Callithrix jacchus: one gene and its partner. The protein of the gene in region 1 interacts with the protein of each later gene in a pairwise test. Links are inferred from orthologs where the notes say so. Each region holds a gene or a part of one and is shown on either strand. Other genes may lie near its edges.

Region 1 (5,311 bases):
ATACAGTTCTTTACTTCCCAAGTTAGACATAGCAATTAGATAGAAAAATAACCAGCAAGCTCGATTTACATTTCCTTTTTCACCTGTTTTTGAATACATATCTCCCATGAAGTCTTTCAGCCCAGTGGTGGTATTTTACTGTTCAGATATATGTTAGAATTTCACTGTTAACGGCCAGGCACTGTGGCTCACGCCTGTAATCCTAGCACTTTGGGAGGCCAAGGTGGGTGGATCACCTGAGGTCAGGAATTCAAGACCAGCCTGGCCACCATGGTGAAACCCCATATAAAAAAAAAAAGAAACTAGAATTCCACTGTTACTTGCCAGTTGCAGTGGCTCATGCCTGTAATCCCAGCACTTTGGGAGGCCAAGGCAGGCAGATCACGATGTCAGGAGTTCAAGACCAGCCTGGCCAATGTAGGGAAATCCCATCTCTACTAAAAATACAAAAATTAGCCAGGCGTGGTGGGGTGCACCTGTAACCCCAGCTACTCGGGAGGCTGAGGCAGGAGAATCACTGGAAGCTGGGAAGTGGCGGATGCAGTGAGCAGAGATCGAGCCACTGCACTCCAGCCTGGGTGACAGTGCAAGACTCTGTGTAAAAAAAAAAAAAATTAATAAAATAAAATAATAACAATAAAAAAAGGCCGGTGCGGTGGCTAATGCCTGTAATCCCAGCATTTGGGAGGCCGAGGCAGGTGGATCACGAGGTCAACAGATCGAGATCACTCTGGCCAACATGGTGAAACCCTGTCTCCACTAAAAATACAAAAATGAGTTGGGCATGGTGGCACGTGCCTGTAGTCCCAGCTACTAAGGAGGCTGAGGCAGGAGGATCGCTTGAACCCAGGAGGTGGAGGTTGCAGTGAACCAAGATCGTGCCACTGCACTCCAGCCTGGCATCAGAGTAAGACTTTCTCTTGAAAAAAAATTAAAAGAAAAGAAAAAAATTGCAGGAGGCACAAATGCCACCACTATGGCACTCTGCTACCTTGGGCAAGTGTCTTGATTCTTTGGCCTCAATTTTCTTATCTATAATATTAAGGTAATTGTTATGTGAACTACCTACCTCAAGTCCTTTGTAGGTCAATTCATAACTGTGCTGTGGGTATTTTTTTTTCCTTTCTTCCTCCTTTCCTTTTTCTTTCTTTCTTAGAGACAAGTTCTCATTATGTTGCCCAGACTAGACTCTAGACCCAACTCCTGGCCTCTCACTATGTTGCCCAGACCAGACTCAACTCCTGGACTCAAGGAATCCTCCAGCCTCAGCCTTCAAGTAGCTGGGATCAGAGGTGTGCACCACCATGCCTGGAACTGTGGGTGTTTCTAAGTGATTATTCTTCCCAAATGAACTACATAAAAAACAAAAGATTCTTTAATTTACCAATGGTTCTTTGTGATGGTGTGCTAATATACAGACTAAAATCAAGGCTCCAACCTCTAAAACATTTAATTCCAGACTTCTTTCCCCCATCCCACTGTGCAAACTGAACAAAAACTGGGCTAGCACTCCAGTCTGGAACATGTAATAAAGAAATAAATGTGCTGACTCAGAGAACATAGATATATTTGATATAAAATAAAAAAAACTGGCTGAATTAAGTCATAACACAATCTAAAGCCACATATAAAAGATTGAGATCATTTTCTGCTTTGCTTTATTCAAGCCAATGTTTTATTAGCACAGCCAGCCAAAAATTTACAATCCATACACAGACTACATAAACCTTTAGTTGCATATACAATAAAGCCAGCAGGTACACACTATACACATTTCCAAAAAAAAAAAAAAAAAGACTAACCACTGATTTTGTCACCACACATACAACGACCTGATATAGCAGAGTGATGTGTACCAAACATGGAAATACCAACTTGGGTGACGGTCTCAATCCTTTTAACTTCAGTGCAAACACACACCCCCAAACGCAGGTAAAGTTTGCACACATGGTTTTTTTCAAAGCCAGCCTTTGTTTCACTCTCCTCTGCATTTACCCAAGATCTTGGCTCTGAGACAGAAAACTCCCACTCTCGATTGGTTCATTCTGTCCTATGCAATTAAGCAACAACACAATCCAGTAAAGGCAATGGCTCAATTATTTATCTTCTGGCCGACTTTACCAGGTGCTTGGAAAAGAACAATGTCAAGAGGTTTATTTCTCTCTACAGCTGGCTGGACGGGTTAATTGGGATTTTATTTTGTCTTCTTTCTTTTTCCTCTCTTTTTTACAAGGCGGGGGAGTGGAGTGAGGGGAGTATAGCTTAACCTAGAAAAAGATGGGAGGGAATTTAGGAAGAGTACCAGTCTGTCAATTTCCTTAGAGGGAACTTGATTCTTATGCAATAAACCTACCCAAGACCAGCCAGTCCGTGAGACTGCAGGGGACAGACACCTATTCCTGCCTCCAGAGGGGTATAGCTGGCTCCTGAAGGAGCGGGAACCCGGCAACTGGAGGAAGTGGCTCAGCGGGAGCCGCCGGCCGAGCGGAAAGGAAGCGCTTTCCGACACCCACCAGAGCCGGTGATCCCCGCCAGTGTGACAGTCGCTCCGGTGGCCGGAACGTCCCCAGGGCCCCAAGGAGCAGGAAATCGGGGGACAGTCCCTCACGCCTGCCGCCGCAGCCGAGTGCGCTCTCGCCCCACGGTTCCCTCTCGAGCGCGTTCTTACTGTTTCTCTGAAGAACGAAACTTCCCTCCAGAGTCCCCAGTCCCTTCCGAGGCCCGCTCCAGTCATCCAGGGGAGTCTTCCCTCAGGGCGACCCTCCGCGTCTCATCTCTCCCCGCCCCAATGCAGCGTCCATACAACCTCTCCAACGTCCCAAAGGCCCCCGGGCCCTACGGCGCCCCCGGGTCCCCAGGCTTCCCCGACGGCCCCACCCTGCACCCCCTTCACCTGTTTCTCCCGCGGAGGCCGAGAGGCCGGGGCTGCGCGTGAGCCAGGGGCGGGCGGCGGGGCTCCCTCAGGCCAAAGGGCCTCTTCTTGCCGACGAGGAGAGACAGCGCCAAGCAGGGTTGCTGGTCCAGGATCCGGTTGGGGCTTGTTCTCTGGCTGCGACGTCGGAACCCCTGGCTCCCCCTCCCAGTCTACGCCGCCGCAGCTCCGGAAACCACTGAATTACAGCCCTTTCAGCCAATCCCCGTCCAGCCCCGGCCGGGCCCGGCATGCCGTCATGCATAATTCATGATCGGCCAGCTCGCTCGGCCATCCAGAGGTCTCAGTGCGTGTGTGGTACAGCAGAAGCCACGCCCACTAGCCAATGAGAGGAGGCGCTAGGAGAAAGGGCGGGGAAAAGAGAAGACTGATACGCCCCTGTGTTGGCTGTTCCGACAGTTTAGTGCTCCTCCCTCCGCCACAGCGAGGGAAGAGCTCAAGGCTTGGGCACAGAAGCCCGGGGGAGGGAGGGAAGATGACCGGAATGTCCTGCTGAAAACTCAGCTGAGTTCCTGGCAGTGTGTGACGTCAAGGCACTTTAAATGCCCCTGATACAGCTCCCTACTGCCCGCTCTCCCTTTTCCCGGCCCTGGGCACCACGTGGTGGCGAGGTTGAGAGCCTCTTACCACGTGAGAATCAGCCAGTTAGACAGTCCCCCAGGTGTCTTCAGATCCTCTGGGGACCCAACTCCTAAATTCGGTTCTGGGGACAACAAAAAGAACCTGGGTGACTCCGCCTGCTTTGAACTTCAGTTTCTGCGTGAGCAGGGACACATGCACCCGGAAACATGACGTGGAAATAGAGTAATTACTAGAGTGCGTGGGGAGAGGGTAGTGGATTTAACCCCGTCCTCCGTTCCATCACTTCAAGCACCAAACGCCGACCGGCTAGCCCATTGGCTGGTACAGGCAAATGCAGAAGACATTATATACGAAAGCTGACACGTACTTGTAAGACTTGACATTTGTATGCGTCTGAATTGAAATACATGAAATGTTCTGCCTTTTTCTTTTCCACCTTGTCTACTTGGTATGCAAGTTTTACAGAATTGAAGTCAGTGGTTCATAGGAAATGTACATATTTTGCCTTTCATAATAGAGGATGAACTTTGCATAATGGAGTGATTTCTGTGTATGTGCTGATACTATCAGGGTTTTTAATTTTTTTTAAGATTTTAAAAATATGTTATTAATATTTGTGTTTGTTTAATACGAACAGGTATAGAGACAAAATCTGAAAAGGTGCCATTATCTCACTGCTCAGATAACCCTTGACTTTTTAATGAACCTGATTCGTATTTAGAAAATGCAGACCGCTGGGCGCGGTGGCTCACGCTGTAATCCCAGCACTTTGGGAGCCCGAGGCGGGTGGATCATGAGGTCATCCCGGTCAACATGGTGAAACCCCACCTCTACTAAAAATATAAAAAATTAGCTGGGCATGGTGGCGCGTGCCTGTAATCCCAGCTCCTCAGGAGGCTGAGGCAGGAGAATTGCCTGAACCCAGGAGGTGGAGGTTGCGGTGAGCCGAGATGCCGCCATTACACTCCAGCCTGGGTAACAAGAGCGAAACTCCGTCTCAAAAAAAAAAAAAGAAAAGAAAATGCAGACCGTTCAGAAAGGTCAAAATTTTTTAATGAAAATCTTTCCCTACCCCCATCAGTCCTTCTCCCCAAGGATAGCTGTTCTTATTAATTTCTGGTGAGAAAAATCAATGACTCTTAACCTTTGGAAGGGGATCACAGATCCTTTTGAGAGTTTGATGGAGACTAGATTCTAGCTCCAGAAACATACAGTACAAGCTTTTACTTACAAATTCACATGGTTCCCACGCCTGTCTAACATCTACAGATTCAGACCGCTTGTACCACGTTGCATCCAACGAAGGACAGAGGCATCTATGGGGCAATTCACAGGGTCACTGCTGGTGGGGTTGAGTGCCTCCTGTTGCCCTCTGGTAGAAACAGCCCAGTGTGGAAATCGCTGTATTTACCTGTAGAGTTTGTGTATTGATTAAACTGTTCATTTACACTGCAAGGCAGATATCATTCATCTTGCCTACATTCTCTTGTAACTATGCTATCCCAGGCAGTTAACTGCCTCCCTGATAACATAGGGTCTACAATTTGTTTAGTAATTTACTGCTTACAAAGCAGTTATATACTCCCTGTCTCGTTTCTTTCTCACCACAATCATGTGTAGCAGATAGGAGAGGCCATGCTATCTGCTGACAGAAAACTAAAGCCACCTGGTGTGGTGGTTTATGTCTGTAATCCCAGTACTTTGGGAGGCTGAGGTGGGCAGATCACCTGAGGTCGGGAGTTTGAGACCAGCCTGACCAACATGGAAAAACCTGACCTCTACTAAAAATACAAAATT
Region 2 (5,151 bases), on another chromosome or scaffold:
AGAGAGGCACACTTTGAGGGGACACAGGTCTCTTCAGGGGGACTGCCAGGGAGCAGGCTTTTATTGGGAAAGGACAAAGGCTCAGGAGCTGGGTGCCTCTGAGGCTGCTGGGTCCTGGGCTGCCATCGCAGCCATTGCAGCAGCTCGTGCCTCCTTCTTCTGTCTTTGTTTTTCCTCCTTGAGGCGCTTGCGCTCCTTCTTCTCTAGGTCCTGGAGCAGCTCCTGGAAGCGGGTGCTCCTTGGGTCCACTTGGTAGCCTAGGCGCTCCTGGGCCTCAGCCTGCAGTCGGGCCCTCCTCTCCTTGTCAGCCTCTTCCTTCTCCCTGCGCTCCCGTTGCTGCTGCCGCCATTTCTCAATCATCTTTGGCATCTTGGCCATGCACTCTGCGATGTGCTGCTCCCTGCAGGGGAGGGAGAGTGGGCCGTGACGCTGGCATTCAGCCAGGGCAGAGCTCACCCACCATAACCCACCCATAGGTCTTTGCGCACTAGCCTTCTCAACTCCCCCAGAAGGTTAACTGTCAGGAGAAGCCCTTGACAAGTGAAGAAACAGGAAGAGATGAAGAGAGTTACTTGTGCATGAATTTGATCACAAGAGTGTGTCAAGCCCCAGTACCCCATGTGCCAAAGCCAAATCAACATTTCACTGAGCTACCTACTGAGCCACCAAGTGCCACTCCCATGGACAATTTCACATGTTTATTCCACAGACATTGCTGAGTACCTACTGTAGCCAGGCCCAATTCTAGGCACAGGAGTGAAAGCAAGAAAGACATTTCCCATCAATACTTGAGTTTGTAGCTACCAGTCACAGCCCCATTTTTTTTTAACTTTTTGTACAGATTTATTTCATCACCCAGATATTAAACCTAGTATCCAGTAGTTCTCTTTCCTGATTCTTTCCCTCCATCCTCCAAAAGGCCCCAATGTGTGTTGTTCCCCTGTGTGTCCATGTGTTCTCATCATTTAGCTCCCACTTAGAAGTGAGAATATGTTGTATTCGGTTTTCTTTTCCTGTGTTAGTTTGCTAAGGATGATAACCTCCAGCTCCCTTCTTGTCCCTTCAAAGGACATGATCTCGTTCTTTTTTATGATGGCCTCATTTACGGATTGGAAAAGTGAAGAATTAAGCTGCCCTATAACAGGGTCATCTGGCTGAGGAAGGGCAGAAACGAGTCCCTGCTCCAACATTCCCTGCCTGGGTGATCAGACACATGACTTCACTTTGCCAAGCCTCAGTTTCCTCATCTCTAAAATTAGGGCAATCCCTTCTTCCTCTTAAGGCTATTGGGAAAACCAGAAGGTTAAATACCAGGAACACACTTGACCTACCCCCTCTGCCATCCAGGAAGTGGCATTATCTGTAACAGATACCCCTGATCCAGCCAGGCACAGTGGCTCATGCCTGTAATCTCAGCACTTTGGGAGACTGAGGCAAGTGGATCACCTGAGGTCAGGAGTTTTGAGACCAGGCTGGCCAATAGGGCGAAACCCTGTCTGTACTAAAAATACAAAAAATTAGCCAGGTGTGGTGGTGCACGCCTCTAATCCCAGCTACTCAAGAAGCTGAGGCAGGAGAATTGCTTGAACCCGGGAGGCAGAAGTTGCAGTGAGCCGAGATCTCACCATGGCACTCCAGCCTGGGGAACCAGAGCGAAACTCCACCTCAAAAAAAAAAAAAAAAAAAAGCCTGTGGTCCTTCAGACTTGCCTCTCTGTACCCGACCTCTGCCCTTGGTTCCAGGACCCATCACCTTCCTGCCCTCACTTTTCCCCAGCTACACTGGCCACTTGGCTCTTCTTTAAGGCATATCCTATCTCAGAGCATTTGCCTCAGCTATTCCTTCTACCAGGAACTCTTTACCTAAGAGATCTCCCCATGGCTAAGTCTGGTTATTCAGGTCTTGGCTTAATCATCATCTCCTCAGAGAGTACTGAACCAAAGCTGCCCTCAGGCAGGCACTCTTCACTCTTTTACCTTCCTAATAGGCAGTCCACTGTGGCCATCTGATATTATCTCGCCTGTTTCCTGCTGGGACAGGATTTTGTTTTTTTGTTTTTTTTTTTGAGATGGAGTTTTCCTCTCTTGCCCAGGCTGGAGTGCAGTGGCCTTATCTCAGCTCACAGCAACCTCTGCCTCCTGGGTTCAAGCTATTCTGTCTCAGCCTCCCGAGTAGCTGGGATCACAGGCGTGTACCACCATGCCCGGCTAATTTTTGTATCTAGTAGAGACAGGGTTTCGTCATGTTAGTTAAGCTGGTCTCGAACTCCTGGCTTCAGGAGCCCTTTGGGGCCTGCCTCGGCCTCCCAAAATGCTAGGATAGCAGGCGTGAGCCACCGCGTGCAGCCTGGGACGGGTTCTTGCACACGGTATGCGCTCAGTAAATTCTTGCTGATCATGGCCGGTTGCGGTGGCTCACGCCTGTAATCCCAGCTACTCGGGAGGCTGTGGCAAGAGAATCGCTCAACCCTGGAGGCGAAGGTCGCGCCACTGCACTCCAGCCTGGGCAACAGTAAGACTTAAAAAAAAAAAAAACAAAAAAACACAAAACGACTTGCTGATGAATGCCTAAATGGACTGTTACTGAGTTTGTTTTGCGGCCAGGTAAGCGTATATATAAATGTACAACATGTAGATGCTGCGAGGTGCCCCCAGTGGGGTAGGCACGGTTTGGGGCCCAGTTCGCCCAAGGGACACAGAGGGCAGCTCCCCGTCTTCCTGCACGCACGCACCTCTCCTGACGCTTCTGCTCTTCGGCCAGCTGCTTCACCCGCAGCGACTCCTGCATGGTCGCCAGGGTTGGGTACCATTCGCGCTCCTTAGCCTCCAGCTCCCTCCGCTGCTCCGGCGACGGCCATAGCGAACCGGGGTCCACCCCGGAGGCAGCGCCGTAACGCGCGAACTGCTTAGCTGCGTAGCGCGGCCTCAGCTGCCATCGCGGGGTCAGGAGGTCCTCGGGGTCTGGCCACCGGGGTCCTGGCCTGCGGCGGGGGGGCGGGGGGGCCCGGTAGCCACGGGAACCCAGGCCCAGCGTCGCCGCCAGCCCCGGCAGGCTACGTGCCTGTCGCACGGACGCCGCCATCTTGGCCGTGCGGGGTCCTCGCACGCCGGCCGGGCTGTTCAAGGCGCTGCCTGAGCGCGAGGCCAGGTGGGGGCCAGGGCAGGGCGAGGGACGTGCCTGCCGCCTGAGTTCGGGGGAGTGAGGAGAAGGAGTTAGTATAGATTTTATACATTTCCAAGTATAGCTTTAACTTTTAAACAGTTACTTATTAAAGTCTTTTTTTTTTGAGACGGAGTTTCGCTCTTGTTACCCAGTCTGGAATGCAATGGTGCGATCTCGGCTCACTGCAACCTCCACCTCCTGGGTTCAGGCAATTCTCCTGCCTCAGCCTCCCGAGTAGCTGGGATTACAGGCGCGCACCACCATGCCCAGCTAATTTTTTTGTATTTTTAGTAGAGACGGGGTTTCATCATGTTGACCAGGATGGTCAATTGATCTCTTGACCTCGTGATCCACCCGCCTTGGCCTCCCAAAGTGCTGGGATTACAGGCGTGAGCCACCGCGCTCGGCCTTAAAGTCATTTTTAATTTTCACTTTTTTTCCTCTGCACACTGACACTTAAAAAATGTGTTTTTAAGCGTTCAGTGTTCTTTGGGTAAAAAATATTTTTAATTTTACTTTTATGCATTTATATTAGCATTTATTACTTTTTAAAATTTAAATGTGGCCGGGCGCAGTGGTTCACTGCTGTAATCCCAGCACTCTGAGAGGGCGAGGCAGGCATCACCTGACGTTAGAGGTTGAGACGGACAAAAAGTAGACGGATGTGGTAGCGCACGCCTGTAATCCTAGCTACTGGGGAGGCTGAGGCAGGAGAATCGCTTGAAACTGGGAGGCGAGGTTGCCCCACTGCTCTCCAGCCTGGGAGAAAAAAAATAAAATTCTGTCACATGCTGTGACATGGATGAACCTTGAAGACATTAGGCTAAGTGAAATAAGGCAGTCACAAAAGGATAAAAATTGTATTCAGTTATATGAGGTAACTAGAGTAGTCAAATTCATAGAGACAGAAAGTCGATGAGGTGTTACCAGGGGCTGGGGGTGGAGGAGTGGGAAATATTGCTTATAATGTAGAATATAGTATGTTTCATATTGTAAAATATACACAATAAAGAAAAAGAATTTGTGTTTTGTTTTGTTTTTGAGTCAGAGTCTTGCTCTGTCTCCCAGGCTAGAGTACAGTGGCGCCATCTCTGCTCACTGCAACCTCCGCCTCCCGGGTTCAAAGGATTTTCGAGCTTCTGCCTTCTGAGTAGCTGGGACCACAAGCTCTAGCCACCATGCCTGGCTAATTTTTCCATTTTAGTAGAGATGGGGTTTTACCATGTTGGCCGGACTGGTATCAAACTCCTGACCTTGAGTGATCCGCCCGCCTTGGCCTTCCAAAGTTCTGGGATTACAGGTGTGAGCCACCACCCGGCCAAATGTTGTTGTTGTTGTTTTTGTTTTTAAAGATGGGGTTTCTCCATGTTGGCCAGGCTGGTCTTGAATTCCTGACCTCAGGTGATCCACCCACCTCGGGCTCCCAAAGTGCTAGGATTACAGGCGTGAGCCACCACACCCAGCCTGTTTTTTTTTAATCACACACATGCACACCTTCTCTGCCCCTGCAAAAAAGAATTGTAATTTTTCTCAAGACATAAATGTTCATAGGAACATCACATATATATGTAATTTCCAAGCTGGAACTAGCTCACACCCAATGTCCATCTCAAGTAGAATGGACACCTAAATTATGCTGTTTCAGCCAACGGACTAGTACACAGGAATGAAAGAGCAGATATTACATCTGCTCACAGCAAGATGGATGATTCTTAGAAGCATAATGTGCAACAAAGGAAGCAGGACTTACATGGTTGCTTTTCAAATTAAATTAAATTTGTTTTTTGACACAGGGCCTTGCTCTGTTGCCCAGGCTAGAGTGCACTGGCTTGATCATAGCTCACTGCAGTCTTGAATTCCTGGGCTCAAGTGATCCTCCTGCCTCAGTCTTTCAAGTAGGTAGACTACTGGAATAAACCACTACTTCCACCTAAATTAAAAATTTTTTTTTAAGACAGGGTTTCTCTATCTTATCCAGGCTGATCTTGA

The links.
Region 2: the proteins of STAT3 (region 1) and GADD45GIP1 interact in binary tests that used the Homo sapiens proteins (3 or more experiments, as listed by UniProt). The link is inferred for Callithrix jacchus from reciprocal best matches to the Homo sapiens genes STAT3 and GADD45GIP1.

Annotation. Positions count from the first base shown.
Region 1 is NC_133506.1:121,806,943-121,812,253, forward strand, and holds the start of STAT3 (signal transducer and activator of transcription 3), read right to left. Parts: upstream 3,089-5,311; 5' UTR 2,894-3,088; intron 1-2,893. UniProt on the Homo sapiens protein: Signal transducer and transcription activator that mediates cellular responses to interleukins, KITLG/SCF, LEP and other growth factors. Once activated, recruits coactivators, such as NCOA1 or MED1, to the promoter region of the target gene.
Region 2 is NC_133523.1:11,776,983-11,782,133, forward strand, and holds the start of GADD45GIP1 (large ribosomal subunit protein mL64), read right to left. Parts: upstream 3,093-5,151; 5' UTR 3,082-3,092; coding exon 2,732-3,081; intron 401-2,731; coding exon 82-400; 3' UTR 1-81. UniProt on the Homo sapiens protein: Acts as a negative regulator of G1 to S cell cycle phase progression by inhibiting cyclin-dependent kinases. Inhibitory effects are additive with GADD45 proteins but also occur in the absence of GADD45 proteins.